4 linked regions of the Oryzias latipes genome follow. The protein of the gene in region 1 purifies or fractionates together with the protein of each later gene. This does not show direct contact. Links are inferred from orthologs where the notes say so. Each region holds a gene or a part of one and is shown in the gene's direction. Other genes may lie near its edges.

What was found. The genes of interacting proteins can lie anywhere in the genome.
Region 2: the proteins of mapk6 (region 1) and cep170 purify together in Homo sapiens (affinity purification with mass spectrometry; 3 studies listed by BioGRID and IntAct, with this or other methods). This does not show direct contact. The link is inferred for Oryzias latipes from reciprocal best matches to the Homo sapiens genes MAPK6 and CEP170.
Region 3: the proteins of mapk6 (region 1) and neurl4 purify together in Homo sapiens (affinity purification with mass spectrometry; 6 studies listed by BioGRID and IntAct, counting the BioPlex papers as one, with this or other methods). This does not show direct contact. The link is inferred for Oryzias latipes from reciprocal best matches to the Homo sapiens genes MAPK6 and NEURL4.
Region 4: the proteins of mapk6 (region 1) and eci2 purify together in Homo sapiens (affinity purification with mass spectrometry; 3 studies listed by BioGRID and IntAct, with this or other methods). This does not show direct contact. The link is inferred for Oryzias latipes from reciprocal best matches to the Homo sapiens genes MAPK6 and ECI2.

What each region holds. Positions count from the first base shown.
Region 1 is NC_019861.2:13,638,109-13,641,675, forward strand, and holds part of mapk6 (mitogen-activated protein kinase 6), read left to right. Parts: intron 1-2,393; coding exon 2,394-2,538; intron 2,539-2,911; coding exon 2,912-3,076; intron 3,077-3,190; coding exon 3,191-3,386; intron 3,387-3,567. UniProt on the Homo sapiens protein: Atypical MAPK protein. Phosphorylates microtubule-associated protein 2 (MAP2) and MAPKAPK5.
Region 2 is NC_019873.2:16,500,153-16,503,719, reverse strand, and holds part of cep170 (centrosomal protein of 170 kDa), read left to right. Parts: intron 1-1,470; coding exon 1,471-1,833; intron 1,834-1,958; coding exon 1,959-2,248; intron 2,249-3,567.
Region 3 is NC_019876.2:14,658,462-14,662,028, forward strand, and holds part of neurl4 (neuralized-like protein 4), read left to right. Parts: coding exon 1-101; intron 102-175; coding exon 176-261; intron 262-332; coding exon 333-495; intron 496-567; coding exon 568-775; intron 776-995; coding exon 996-1,072; intron 1,073-1,173; coding exon 1,174-1,252; intron 1,253-2,563; coding exon 2,564-2,733; intron 2,734-2,826; coding exon 2,827-2,955; intron 2,956-3,049; coding exon 3,050-3,195; intron 3,196-3,567. UniProt on the Homo sapiens protein: Promotes CCP110 ubiquitination and proteasome-dependent degradation. By counteracting accumulation of CP110, maintains normal centriolar homeostasis and preventing formation of ectopic microtubular organizing centers.
Region 4 is NC_019878.2:4,767,907-4,770,418, reverse strand, and holds the end of eci2 (enoyl-CoA delta isomerase 2, mitochondrial), read left to right. Parts: intron 1-400; coding exon 401-490; intron 491-578; coding exon 579-722; intron 723-862; coding exon 863-1,018; 3' UTR 1,019-1,964; downstream 1,965-2,512. UniProt on the Homo sapiens protein: Able to isomerize both 3-cis and 3-trans double bonds into the 2-trans form in a range of enoyl-CoA species. Has a preference for 3-trans substrates.

The sequences.
Region 1 (3,567 bases):
CCTTTGTCTGGTTGTGTGTGTTGGGGGGTTGATGAGGACACATTTGAAGATCTTAACATATGTTCTTCAATTGATACTCCACGTTGAGAATGCGTTTTTTTGTCCATACGATTTCGGAGGGATTTTCTTTTTGGTAAAATTATAGGAGCAAATGTATGATCATTGGGAACATGTGTCTGCATGTGGCTCGGTGTAAAATGAAGTAATTTGAGATGCTGGCTTAGGCTCTCGGCTGTGTTCAAAGGAGAGTTCACAGAGGTCTTTTCTGCAACACGGTCTCCCTGCAGCTGCAAATCACAAGTGCAATGTCACTCTTACGCACACATTTGACCCAACCATTCATGCCAGCAACAGGCCCGTCTGGTATCGGGCTGCAGGGCTTATAAGAAGAATGCTTGGAAGGAAGTTTAAGGATCAGTGAGTTCGAGAGGTTTTGCTTGTTTTCCTAAATCCAAACAGATTTGACTTTGTTTCATCTACTAATAGTACTCCATTCGCAGACTGCAGTAAATGAAATCCTTGTGTGTTACAGAAACTCCCTAAATAATAAATGTTGTATTTAGTATGTAAAGCAGGTCCATAGTGAAATGTTGCCACCATGGTCGTTGACTCTCATTATCCCTAACAGAATCAATTAACCGTAAAAGACTGTTTTGAGTTTAACAGGATTTATGGTTGGTAAGTTTTCTTGGTTTCTCTTGTACGCAAAGGACAGTATGATCTTTTTGATTCTCTTCCGCTGTTTTTACCGACATCTAGTCTGACTTGCTTCAGGAAACGGAAAGTAATTTCATAGAAAACTTATGAGTCACTACATGATGGTGTGTTGTGATCTACACCAAGGGTTAAAGTTATTCCAAAAGTGTCGTCAGAGCTGTTGAAATGATGAATACATTATTGGATATGACTATGCATAGTATGGTTTCATAATAAGTGCCCTACGTTGAAGTTGGTAAAACTTTAAAGCTTTTTGCTAAAAATCCAACTTATTTTTTCTACAGCAGGTCTGTTTGGTCCAGACCAGAGTCCGTTTCCCACAGTTCACGCTGCTTCATGTGGTTTTACTGGTGCGGTTCAATACAGGGTGAAAGCAGATATACTCTCTGGAGGTCCATGAGGTAAAGGACCACAACGAGTCATAGGCAGCATATATTTTGAGCTGCAAAAATAAACAAATAAAACCAGACACCGTAATTAAAAAATGAGGAATAAAAGAGGTCTGGGCGTGTAACAGTATGACAGAGGGCTAGCTTGGCTTTATCTTAATCATGCTTGTTTCTTTGGTCAGTCCTAATTTTGAGCAGTATCACTGTCATCTGTGCAGCTGCTGTTGCTGCGTGACATTTCTCAGGTGGCCTGGGCTGATCTGTAGAGAGTAGCACGTCTGCAAATGGAAGTTTCTTGAATTTCTCAGCCATTCAATGGCTGTCATGGTCTGATCTTTTCCTGGTCCAACTCAGGTTATTGTTCTCTTAAAAAAAACTAGGTGAAGGTCATCTGATTTATGTTGTCCTTAGCTGAACTGATGGCACACATACCTACACATTACCACAGTCACAAAGTCGTCTGCACAATTGGCTTCTCTGGATGAGTATCGGTCCGCTCTGCCAGGTGTCAGATATTAGCTATGACTTGTGTGTAGTCTAATTCTGCCTGACCTCCTTCACAAGCTGTCCTCAGACTACAAGATTAGCTTGTTACCTGCAGGAAGAGGTCATGTCTTTGCATGTTGCACTGCAAACAAACTTTTAAAAGGAGTGATGCACCCCAGAATAGTGTGACCTCAAGTACCTGCAGCTAAATTAGGGCAGGAACAGGAGCCTTGCTCAATGGCAAGAATACCATTTTGGTCTCACCCCAAACAAGCAGTGCATGTGGGGGGAGACGGGAGCGAGAAGTGAGGGTGTTATTTTACCACTCCCCCTCCCCCCCAGTCGCTCCCACACAGGCCGCTTTCCTTTGTGTTCGGTCCTGTGGCGAGTCAGGCGCTGTTTGAGAGTAGAGAGGCTTTGTGCCAGCGGTGTGGCAGAGGTGGGGGAGATTACTCTCCTGTCCCAGACTGCTGACATGGTCTGCACGTGTCTGATCTCCCCCCTTTCAAGCCTTTTTCTTCCCTTTCTCGTTTTTTTTTTTCACCTACACAGCACGTGTGGTGTACGTGACCCACAGAGTGCAAGTCTGTGAAGGAGATGACACCCAAGTTTATCACATTTCAATGGGGTTATTGCATTTACAGCAACAGCCCAGAAAAAGACAAATGTTTAGATGTCAGCTAGATATGGATCAATTGTAGTTTGAAACAAAGAACTTAGCTATTGGAATAACTCTGTCTTGTAGTTTTGTTTTCTCTTTGAACATCTAACTTAAACTACCCTGGTCTCTGTTGATCACAGGGCCATCTCTCTGAAGGTCTTGTCACAAAGTGGTACAGATCTCCTCGCCTGCTGCTCTCTCCTAACAACTACACCAAAGCCATCGACATGTGGGCTGCTGGCTGCATGTTTGCAGAGATGCTCACAGGGAGAACCCTGTTTGCAGGTAAATGTGGGTCACAGCAGGGATTTCATTTCAATCGTTCTTGAAATGGAGCTGATTTTTAGAGCAAAATGTTTGACTTTGTCAAATGCGCTGACAGGTGTAACTATTCTGGATAATAAACCAATGTTTATCTGCCTGTCTTTCTACTCTTGTAGTTTAGACAATTTTTACAGACATTTTTTGTCATAAAGGTCTTTTTTTTTTGGCAAAACAAAATTGACTTTGGATGAGCAGTGTTCATTTTTCCTTTTTAAAAATGTTTACTTAAAGGTTTTTTTTATATTCCTGTCTCTTTAAAACTGACCTAGATACTTGTTATTCTTGTTTTCAGCTATGTGTGTCATGTACAACTAAGATTTTCTTTCTTTTCCAGGAGCTCATGAGCTGGAGCAGATGCAGTTGATCCTGGAGTCCATCCCTGTCCTGCGAGAGGAAGACCGACAAGAGCTTCACAGTGTCATCCCGGTCTTCATCCGCAGCGACATGTCAAAACCTCACACGCCGCTGGCCAAGCTGCTGCCTGACGTCAGTCCACAGGGTGAGCGTCTCATGAGAATTCAGTGAAATCAAGGATCCAACAGAAAAGCAGTCACATGTCACATGCATCATGTCAATTCCTGACTTGATCTTATCATCCTTTTTCTCTCTGCAGCCCTGGATTTTTTGGAAAAGATCCTGACCTTTAACCCAATGGATCGCCTGACTGCAGAGGAAGCCCTGGCCCACCCCTATATGGCCGACTACTCTTTCCCCCTGGATGAGCCCATCTCTCTGCATCCTTTCCACATTGAAGATGAAGTGGATGATATTCTGCTCATGGACCAGAGCCACAGCCATACTTGGGACAGGTGTGTTTTCTCTCCTTTTTTAATGAGATGCAGTATTCCCTTTTTATTTTAGGATACAGGGCTCCAGACCGCGACCATTTGGTCGCATTTTGCAACCAAAATTTGAGTGTGCGACTGAATTTTACATCCAGTCGCACATGTGCTACCAGTAAATTTGCCTCCCCCACCCTCCGTATTTATT
Region 2 (3,567 bases), on another chromosome or scaffold:
GTCCTGCCAAGGGCTGCTTTGTGCCGGGTACACACAGCACCAAAGAGCTGTCCTTCTCTTCCTGCTGATCTGTCAGTCCCCTTCATCTGCTGGCTAAAACTTTATTTGGTCTTTTCTTTATGCTTTTTTCTTTTTTTTTTTTACAATCCGCATATAGAAAAACCTATGCTTCATTGGGCACCAGTTAAAGTAAGTTCTGTTTTGGATTGTTTCACAAATGTTCTAGTCAATTATTAAAGATCTGGCTACACTTCCTTGCAGGTTACTTAATGATTATAGTAAATGGTTTAATATGAGAGAAGGTGTAATTGAATGAAAACTAAACTGTAAGTTTGTGTTTTCTTTAAAAATGTGTAATTTATCTACAAATATGCAGATGTTATGAATAAGGTTAACTGCACTTTTTTCCATAAAGGAAAAAGAAGCTGCTCCTGCGTTTACCTTGTCATGTTGAAGAACTTTCATGCAAAGCATGTTAGTGTGTATCTGTTCCTGTCTATATGCACATGGAAGGAACTACTCAGCGATTCTTATTTGTAAAAAGATTCAGAATCTGGCCTTTTCTGAAGCCAGAAATAAGAGATGCAAGTGTACGTGAAGACTGTGCATCAGAGGCTTATGTCTGGAAATAAGAGTGAAATCATTTGAAAAAGGCACATTTGTAATGCAAACAATTTTTCTCAAATTACCAGAAGACCATAATTTGCCCTTTTTTTGTTGTTTTATTTATGTTTTGACTTGATTGTTTTACATCCACCTTCATCCTCACATCCCCCATCCTCCTTCCTAGCTCAGCTTCCCCCTTTTCCCCTTTCGCCTCCCCTCTTTTAACACCTCCTCTTGTCACTCTCGCACTTGCTTCCCTCATCTCTGACCCCTCCCTTCTTGCCTTCCTGCTCCCTCCCCCTCCGCCAGCCTGCTGGCAGTGAAGTGGGCAGGGCCAGTGGTTGTGTGGGTGGGTTGTCTGCATTGGTGTGGCACACTGTCTCCAGCCTGGTTGCTGATTCAGCCCAGACACTTGTGAATGTAAGGCGACTGTAATGTGTTGTGGAGATCACATGATGATTTATCTGATGGTTTATAGGTTAGAATCCGGCCACAGCTGCAGACTCTTATGGTTTGAAAAAAATTCAGTTGTTTAACGACCGGTATGGTGGATTTTTAGGGGATGTGCAGTCAGGTGTGTATATTTTTTTTATAAAATGTTGCAAATAACTCAGATGCAGATCACTGCTCATGTTACTGCATTCTAATACTTAACACATTTTTTGTTTGTAAAGATTACACTAAATGTGATTTAGATTTGAAGGAAGTATGGTTTTTCACAGTGCTAAAACCAGATCTTTGTTATCAAAAATTGCAAAATATAATGTTGGACATTTTTATAGAAAACAAAGCTCTTTTCCACTTGATTCTTGGTAAAAAAAATATTAACTCTAATCATTTATCTGGTTTCTGTTTGTTTCTCAGTAGGAAGCAAACATGAGGATGGCACCCAGAGCGACTCGGAGAACGGACTGGGCCTTCGTTTCTCCAGTCGACGTCATGCCCTCGAGGAACGCCTGAAGGCGGCGCACGGCCACGCTCCAGGAACAACAGGAACAGTGGTGGGGAACACAACTGTGGGCGGGGCCAGAACAACTGGAACTCGCACAGCTTTCATGATCGAACTTTACGACGAGGAAAACCCACGCAAGCGGCGGTCATATTCATTTTCCCAGACTGCACCGCTGCTTCCGGGAGGCACGGGAGGCGAGGGCCTGTGTCCTCAGCCTCCCTCTCACCCAAAGGTGTTCAGCATTTCCACGTCTGCCACTACAGCCTCAGACTCAGGTAATTGTGAATGAATGCTTTCACACACAAAAGACCTAAAAACGACTGTTTGTAAAATAAGATTAACATTTTTTGGAAAAACACTTTTCAGTGGTTGTGTATTTGCCTGCATGTGCATCTGTCAGGTAAAGTCCCAGCTCCAATACCAGCAACAGTGACTGTAGGTGCCCCAACAGCTGCCCGTGTGCTCCTCAAGCAGAGGTCAGAGGATCATAGCATAGGTCGTAGCTCAGCCAGCACCGGACTGGCAACCGGCAGCCCCACCACCCCCAGTGAGGACGCCTCACTGGTTGGCAGAGAAGCTCGGCCTGCTGGTGGAGAAGCAGAGGATGATCACAGCGATAAGGGGACCTACACTATCGAACTGGAGAACAGCAATCCAGAGGAAGAGGAGGCCAGACGCATGATAGACAAGGTAGCAATGCTTTGAGATGTTAGTCTGTTTTCAGGGTTTTTCACCTTTTTTCGTAGAGCATCATAAAAACGTTTAGAGGTATGAACACACCGGACATGTGTTCAAGAACATGAAAGTGGGTTTTTAAACGCACTTTTAGCATATGGTGTTCCCACAGGTCTGTTGCCACCCGATACTAGTGCAAGGATTCACAGTTGGAAGAGCCTTGGTGCAAAATGTCGAAGCGGTGCAAATCTCACAAATTTTACTCCAGGCATTGTCTTTCACAGCTCTATTCCAATTTATGACAGACTTGCTGTCATATAAATCCAGACGGGCACAAATTGATATTGTTCATTTTCTCCTTCACAATGGATTTTTAAATGGTTGGCAGTTCCGTGTTTTGAAAAGAACGCTAGTCATACATCACTACCAAATCCCTGAGTGGTCAAAGTTCAAGTGGTTAAACCTTCAGCATGCGTTCAGTTGCCGCGCATTGTGAACGTTGAACCTGGTAATGGGTCTAAAAACTTGCTTAGCGACAGATGAATGCCAGAGTTTTTAACCCAAAACAAAAGAACACAAAGAGGCAGGTTTTCATTGGAAGCGGACGTTTGGACGCACTTTTCCGAGCCCAGTGTGAACGTAGCATTACACACAGACATACGTAGTTACCCTAATGCATTAGAAGAGGACACCTAATTAGAAATAGATTTCACAGACATCAGCAGAAGTTTGACTTACAAACACTTTTTCATGACGAAGCGTTATGATCAAACTGATAAGTAAAAAAAATGCAAAAGTACGCAGTTTTCCACGACCTTGATTTCAACCATTTCAGCATTTATACGACCTCTCTGCCTGACTTACACTAATAAGCAGAAAGTTGTCTATTTACCAAGACTATATAAAAGTATGTATCTTTGTTTGCATTTGGTAATTCTCTAAAGCACCAACAGGGTCTTTAAGATTTTGTTTTTCATCATAATAGCAAGTAAAACAACAAAAAAATCTTCGTTAAAGTCAAGCTGATGTAGTTTAATTGAAGACCTGAAAGAAGCAAACTACAGCAACTATTAATTCACTCTTTATTACCTGCCTCGTCTGCACTTTTTACAGTTAGGAAGTCATTAGATGTTCTTAAAGCAAAGGTATCATCTCTCTATGGCTTTACTTGACCACAGCCCCTCTACTCTATCCCGCTGAATGTATTGCCTCTGCTCTGTAATGTATTGCCTGCAGTGAACTGCTGCATCCAGCGCTGTTCTTGCTTATTAAAATAACACCCTAGGGGGGCTAAAAAAAACCTGCAGCCTCACCTCTTGGTGCAGAGCTCTTTA
Region 3 (3,567 bases), on another chromosome or scaffold:
CAAAATGGTCGACAAGTGGGCGGGCTCCATTGAAATTGGAGTCACAACGCACAACCCCGCCTACCTGCAACTGCCCTCCACCATGACCAATCTACGCTCAGGTGAACGACCGCGGTGCCTTTTTTTAAAGCAGGTCGGTTCGGCTAGTCGGAGGCTAATCTTTTGATGTTTTCAGGGACGTGGATGATGACGGGGAACGGCGTGATGCACAACGGGACGACCATTTTAGACGAATATGGGCACAACCTGGATCGACTCAAAGTAGGTGTTAGTAGATATCAGTGTTGGTCTTTGGGGTATTTATTGTTTTGACATTTTTCTTGCCCGTGCAGGCAGGCGACACAGTCGGCGTCGTTCGGAAAGAAGACGGCAGCCTCCATTTTTTCGTGAATGGCGTGGCGCAGGGCCCCGCTGCCTGGAACGTGCCACCCAGCGTCTACGCTGTGGTTGACCTCTACGGTCAGGCGGCGCAGGCCACCATCATGGACGACATGGGTGAGTCAAAGGACTTTTTGGGGGGGGTGGTGGTGGTTCCACAGTGGTTCATGTTTGTGCCTCTGTTGGCAGACCTCCCCCCTCTGCCGGAGGACAGCTCCGAGGGCCCCACAGCCATGTCCCCTGGCAGTCCCTGCTCAGTAGCTGGAGCCACAGCAACCAACGACCTGCGCTTCCACCACCTCCACGGCACCAACGCCGTCATCACCAACGGCGGGCGCACCGCGCTGCGTCAGAACTGCCGCAGCGAGTTCAACGACGCGATTGTTATTTCCAACAGGTCAGACAAATAACATAAAAATCACTTTGAGAGACTTTGAGAAAACCCTTTAAAGAGGAGATCAAACAAAGACCATCACTCTTTAGCTCACCGGTAAATAGAACACAACAGGAAGTTCTGTTAATTTATTCAGGTTGAAAAAAGGTTATGTTTCTTAGTTGATTACTTACTCAAATGCTCACACGTTTATCTGACCTGGCATGAACTTTACTCGTTGCAGGTGCCTTCGAGATGGAGAGCTGTTTGAAATCGTCATCCAGAAGATGGTGGACCGCTGGTCAGGTTCAATAGAAGCAGGTTTGTTGGCGTCTCTAATCGATCCATTGAGTTCACATCCACGACATTTGAAACTTACATGAACTTTCTTACGTCTCTCTCTGGATTTTCTGTGCGTTTAGGAGTAACGGCCATAAGGCCAGAGGAGCTGGAGTTTCCAAACACTATGACTGATATCGATTACGATACTTGGATGTTGAGGTAATCAATTGAATTGTCCGGGTGAATACTCGATTCTGATTGGCTGCTGGGTGTGGATTAAAAAGTAATAAGTAATAAAAAGAAGCTTAAATGTTTTATATCACTGCGTTGGATTCTTTAAAACGAACTTTTGCTTCATTATTAAGAGGTGAACTTTCTCTCTGAACTGATGCTAATTTTAACACATCGTGATCATCAGCATATATATCGCTTTCCTTTGCCCCTGCCAGTTCAGTGCTGGCTAAGCGTGTTACGCGCCGCACCACATAACAAATAGTCCGCTTTTTGTAAAAAAAAATAAAAGAGCGATCTAAACCGAACAAATAACCAGAATAAAGTACTATAAACTAGTTGAATATTTATTTCTTTTGTAACTTACCATGGTATAAGCGGGTTAAAGACCTTCGAAATGTGCATTAGGAGAAATGTCTGATGATGATCGTCAGCCATTATGCCTTGTTTTTTGGTTAAGAACCAAAGTAAAAAACTTTGAATTTGAAAGCTTTTTTGGAAATTTATTTATTTATGAAACATTTCACACTAAAAGTTGTAAAAAAAACAAGATACATTAAATCAAGCGAGAAAAAAAATATATATATATTTATCATTCTTTTCTACTAGATGATTGTCTTTAAGTCTATTGTAAAGCGTTCCCAGTGGTTTTTTAATTATAATTATACCGTTTTAGCCAAAATCAACAAAACCTGTGTCGTTTTCAGGACATAGTTTCTGTAGACCGGCAGCAGTTCATCAGAAATTCAATTTTAAGTTGTGGGAGCAGCCCCGCCCCCCTTCCCCTCCCTGTTACTAAGAGTTATTGGCCCGCCCAGTGTATTTTCTATGTAACAAACGCGCTCCTTTTGAGACGTTTTTATGTCTGCTTCTGATTCATAATGATTTCAATACAGAAATGCAGTTTAAGCTGAATTTTCTTTATATTTGTCTTTCATCATCAGAAAAACGCTACATGAACATGTTAAAAACACCATTTTCACCAGAGCAGGTCTTTAACTCTGATATAATGATACCTTTATAAGTGACTGTGCCATTACATTTAAGGGTGCTGAGTGACTGAACAAGTCATCATTTGGGAAGAAAAGTTACTCTTCAGGACAAAGTGGAAGAAAGCTCCATCAGAAAGAGACTCTGTAGCCACGTTCCGTCTGTTATGACCCGTTCTAAGAGGACAGGAAAGAGACAAACAAAACTAGAGAAAGAACTACAGACGGACCAGAGATAGAAATACTGCAACATTTGAGACTTTTTTTTTTTTTTAACGTAGTTCTTCTTTGTTTCTTTTATTTCTCCCAGTGGAACAGCCATCATGCAGGATGGGAACACAATGCGCAACAACTATGGATGTGATTTGGACTCCCTAACTACGGGCTCTAGGATAGGCATGATGCGCTCGTCCAGTGGCAACCTCCATTATTACATAAACGGCGTGGATCAAGGAGTCGCCTGCTCGGGTCTACCTCCAGGTAAAGTCCCCCGGTGGACTGCATGCACTCCCTGATCCGTTGCAAGCCTCAGGCGGTCCGGCTGAACCACGGATGGGTGTCTTTCTGTCTCAGAGGTGTACGCCGTGATCGACCTATACGGTCAGTGTGTTCAGGTGGCCATCACCAACTCCTCCGGCCCGCTGGACAACAGCCTGTGTACCAGCAACATCACAGAAAAGAGCTTCCCTATCCACTCTCCAGGTACAAACATCAAAATGACGACCGAAAGCTTCGAGTGACCTTCCAATGACTGTGCTGTTGTGTCCGTGTGTGTGCGTCTCTGCTGCGTGGGCAGTAGCAGGCGTCGCCCATCGGCTGCACAGTAAACACGGTAAAAACGTGGTGCTGCTCGGCGAGGGCTGCCAGGCCGTCAGAGTGGGCGGGTACTCTCACGGCATCGTGTTCAGCGGGAAGGAGCTCAAAGCCGACGAGTTATTTGAGGTAAAAGAAACACTGCTGCGTTTGATACAGTGGACAGTTTTAACTCGGGTCTGGAGCAAAGTTTTGGTCCCACAATGATCATCCTTTGATCTATCCAAGTGTTCCCAGTGGTCTTTAAATTATGAATGTGCCATTCATAGCCAAAATCATAACCCTGCATCGTTTCTTTATGACATAGTTTCTGTAGGGTGGCAGTAGTTTGCTCTTAAGCTGTGGGCGGGAATGTTGGAGTGTATTTTCTACGTCACAAATATGATGTTTTTCCAACAGCATTTTTTTTGTCTGATCCTGATTCACAATGATTTGGATAAAGAAATACTCAGAAATGCAATTTTTTAAAAATATAAATGTCCTCTATCATCAAAAAGAAAA
Region 4 (2,512 bases), on another chromosome or scaffold:
TTACTTTTCCACGTATATTCATGTAGTGGCCACAAATTAGACCTAAACGTAACCAGGATCTCGATAAGCCTTTAATTTATCTAACTGATGTTTCTCCCTGATGGTCAATTTTCAAACAGTTGGAACTTCCGTTATTAAAAAAGGACGCCAACCATCGCTACTACCAAATCCAAATCCCTGACTCAAAGTTGAAATGGTTTACCTTTCAATGCGGCGTTTTGTACGTGAAGCCAAAAAAAAGACTTAAAAACTTGCGTAGCGACGTGAACTGGAGGATTTTGAACGGGGCAGCCCGAATTGCGCATTTACCCGCGTTTGCATAGCTTTTTCATTGAAAGTGGCCGCTTGAACTCACGTTTCTGAGCATAACGTCAGACTTCAACCAGCATCTCCGTTTCAGGCTACCTTCCACACCCCCTTCAGCCAGCTGGGCCAGAGTGCTGAGGGATGCTCCTCCTACACCTTCCCCAAGATGATGGGCAATGCCAAGGTGCGCCCACTGCAGCTGCTGGTTCCTCCTGAGTGCAGAGCGACCTCCTGACCTGCACGAGGGAATGAATGTTGTCACGTGTCTGCAGGCCTCCGAGATGCTGCTGTTCAACAAGAAGCTGACGGCAGCTCAGGCCTGTAGTCTCGGCCTCGTCACCGAGGTTTTCCCCGACAGCAGCTTCCAGTCCGAGGTCTGGAGCAGATTGAAGGCCTACGCCCAGCTGCCTCGCAAAGTAAGCACATCAAGGCTCACACGTGCACACTCACCCGTGCACTCACTGCAGAATCATGCGTGAGTGCAGATGATGTTAGGTTCCTGCCCAACAGTTTATGGAGTTTTGACGCTGCTGGCCTTGTCCCCCTCCCTCCACAGTCTCTGGCTCTGTCCAAGCAGCTGATCCGCTCCATAGAGAAGGAGCACTTGTACGCCGTCAATGACGCAGAGGTGGAGCGCCTCATGGAGCGCTGGACGTCAGATGAGTGCTTCAACGCCATCATGAGCTTCTTCCAGGCAAAGGCCAAGCTCTGATGGACCCCCCCCCCCCACCTCAGAACTAAAGCTTCAGCTCCTTCGTCTTCACAAGAAGTTACCGACAGCAGCTAACAAACAGAAGGACTTCTGAAACCCTCCTCATCGTAGATTCATCCCTCCTGAGAATGTTAAAAAGAAGAGGAGGCGTTCAGGTGAACTCCGTACTATTCAGAGGTTTATCTCTAAATGCAGTTTCTGGAATAAAACATCTGCAGGTTCCATAAGCATCTTTTTACTGAGAAGGACATTTTAACCTTTAGGTGTTTGTTAAGAGTTTCTGGATTTGCTAAAACTCATCTAGTTATATTTTATAACATTATTGAACTAAAGTACAGAGAGTCATAACAGAAAAAAAATGTTTACCAGGTGCTATGTTTCACTTTTACTGAATAAAAAAGTGCCAGAACAATCCACGACCCACTTATTCAGAGTGGGTCTTTAAATTCATGTATTTTTTAGCTTGTAACTTCATTTAGATCAGTTCTTAAATTAAGGAGAGACTGTTGTTATTTTCCCTTAATGCATAAAAATTTAAATATAATGGTAAAATTGGGTGAAGGATCAATACAAAGTTTTTGCAGGAAGGGCTGAGTTATATTTCTGCTTTGACTGGACAAATTGGCCTTCGGCTCCTGAAACAAACATGTCCTCATGTAAAGAATAAGACAACAGACGCATCAAACCTGCTGCTGGCAGAGCTGCAGGGTGTGGTTGCTTGTGAAAGGAGACCGTGGTGTTTTATCTGTAAGGAGAACAGGTTTAAAACATCTCCATCCACAACACGTGTTTGAGATGACTTTAACATTCTCGTCCAGCTAGTGTGGACCACAGCTTATCATGGGTTTTAACTTGGTGTGCCTCATGGCTCAGTTTGGGGGTTTGTCTTCTTTTCTCTGCCATTGTTGCTCTGATATGTTTGCTAAATAAAACTGTTTCAACTTAATTTGTGGCCAAATCTTTGACCAATTGTTGGTGATATCCCTAACCTGAGATGACTTTTAACCACTGTGGAGAGGAAAACTCAGAACCAGGGTTTTTAATATCAGTGCTTCCGCTTCGGTTCGTTTGCTGACTGTTATTACATCCCAAACTGACAGAATCCTCTCTGCTTGGTCTGTGATCGTTTGCCTGGCAAACCTAGTACAGGCTTTGCAGTACCATCTGTAACCTCAGAGAAAAGAGAGAATCTGCCGACGTCTTGTTTTGTTGTTCTGGCGGTTCCTCGTCTTGAGGATGAAGCTCTGTGTAGAAGCTGCTCCTCTCAGAGTTCCTGTCAGGCTTCAGCACGTTTGGGGGTTTCTGTCAGTTGAACAAGCAGCAGCAGGAAATAACCTAAAACTGAGTCTGTCTGAAACCACAACTCCACTCTCAATTGAGGTCACAGATACGTGACCACCTGTCATGTTAAATATTAACGCCCCTTGTTTGCTTTTCATTCCTGCTGAAGCCAACATCCAGGAGCTAAACATTTTCATTCTGTTCTTTAACTGA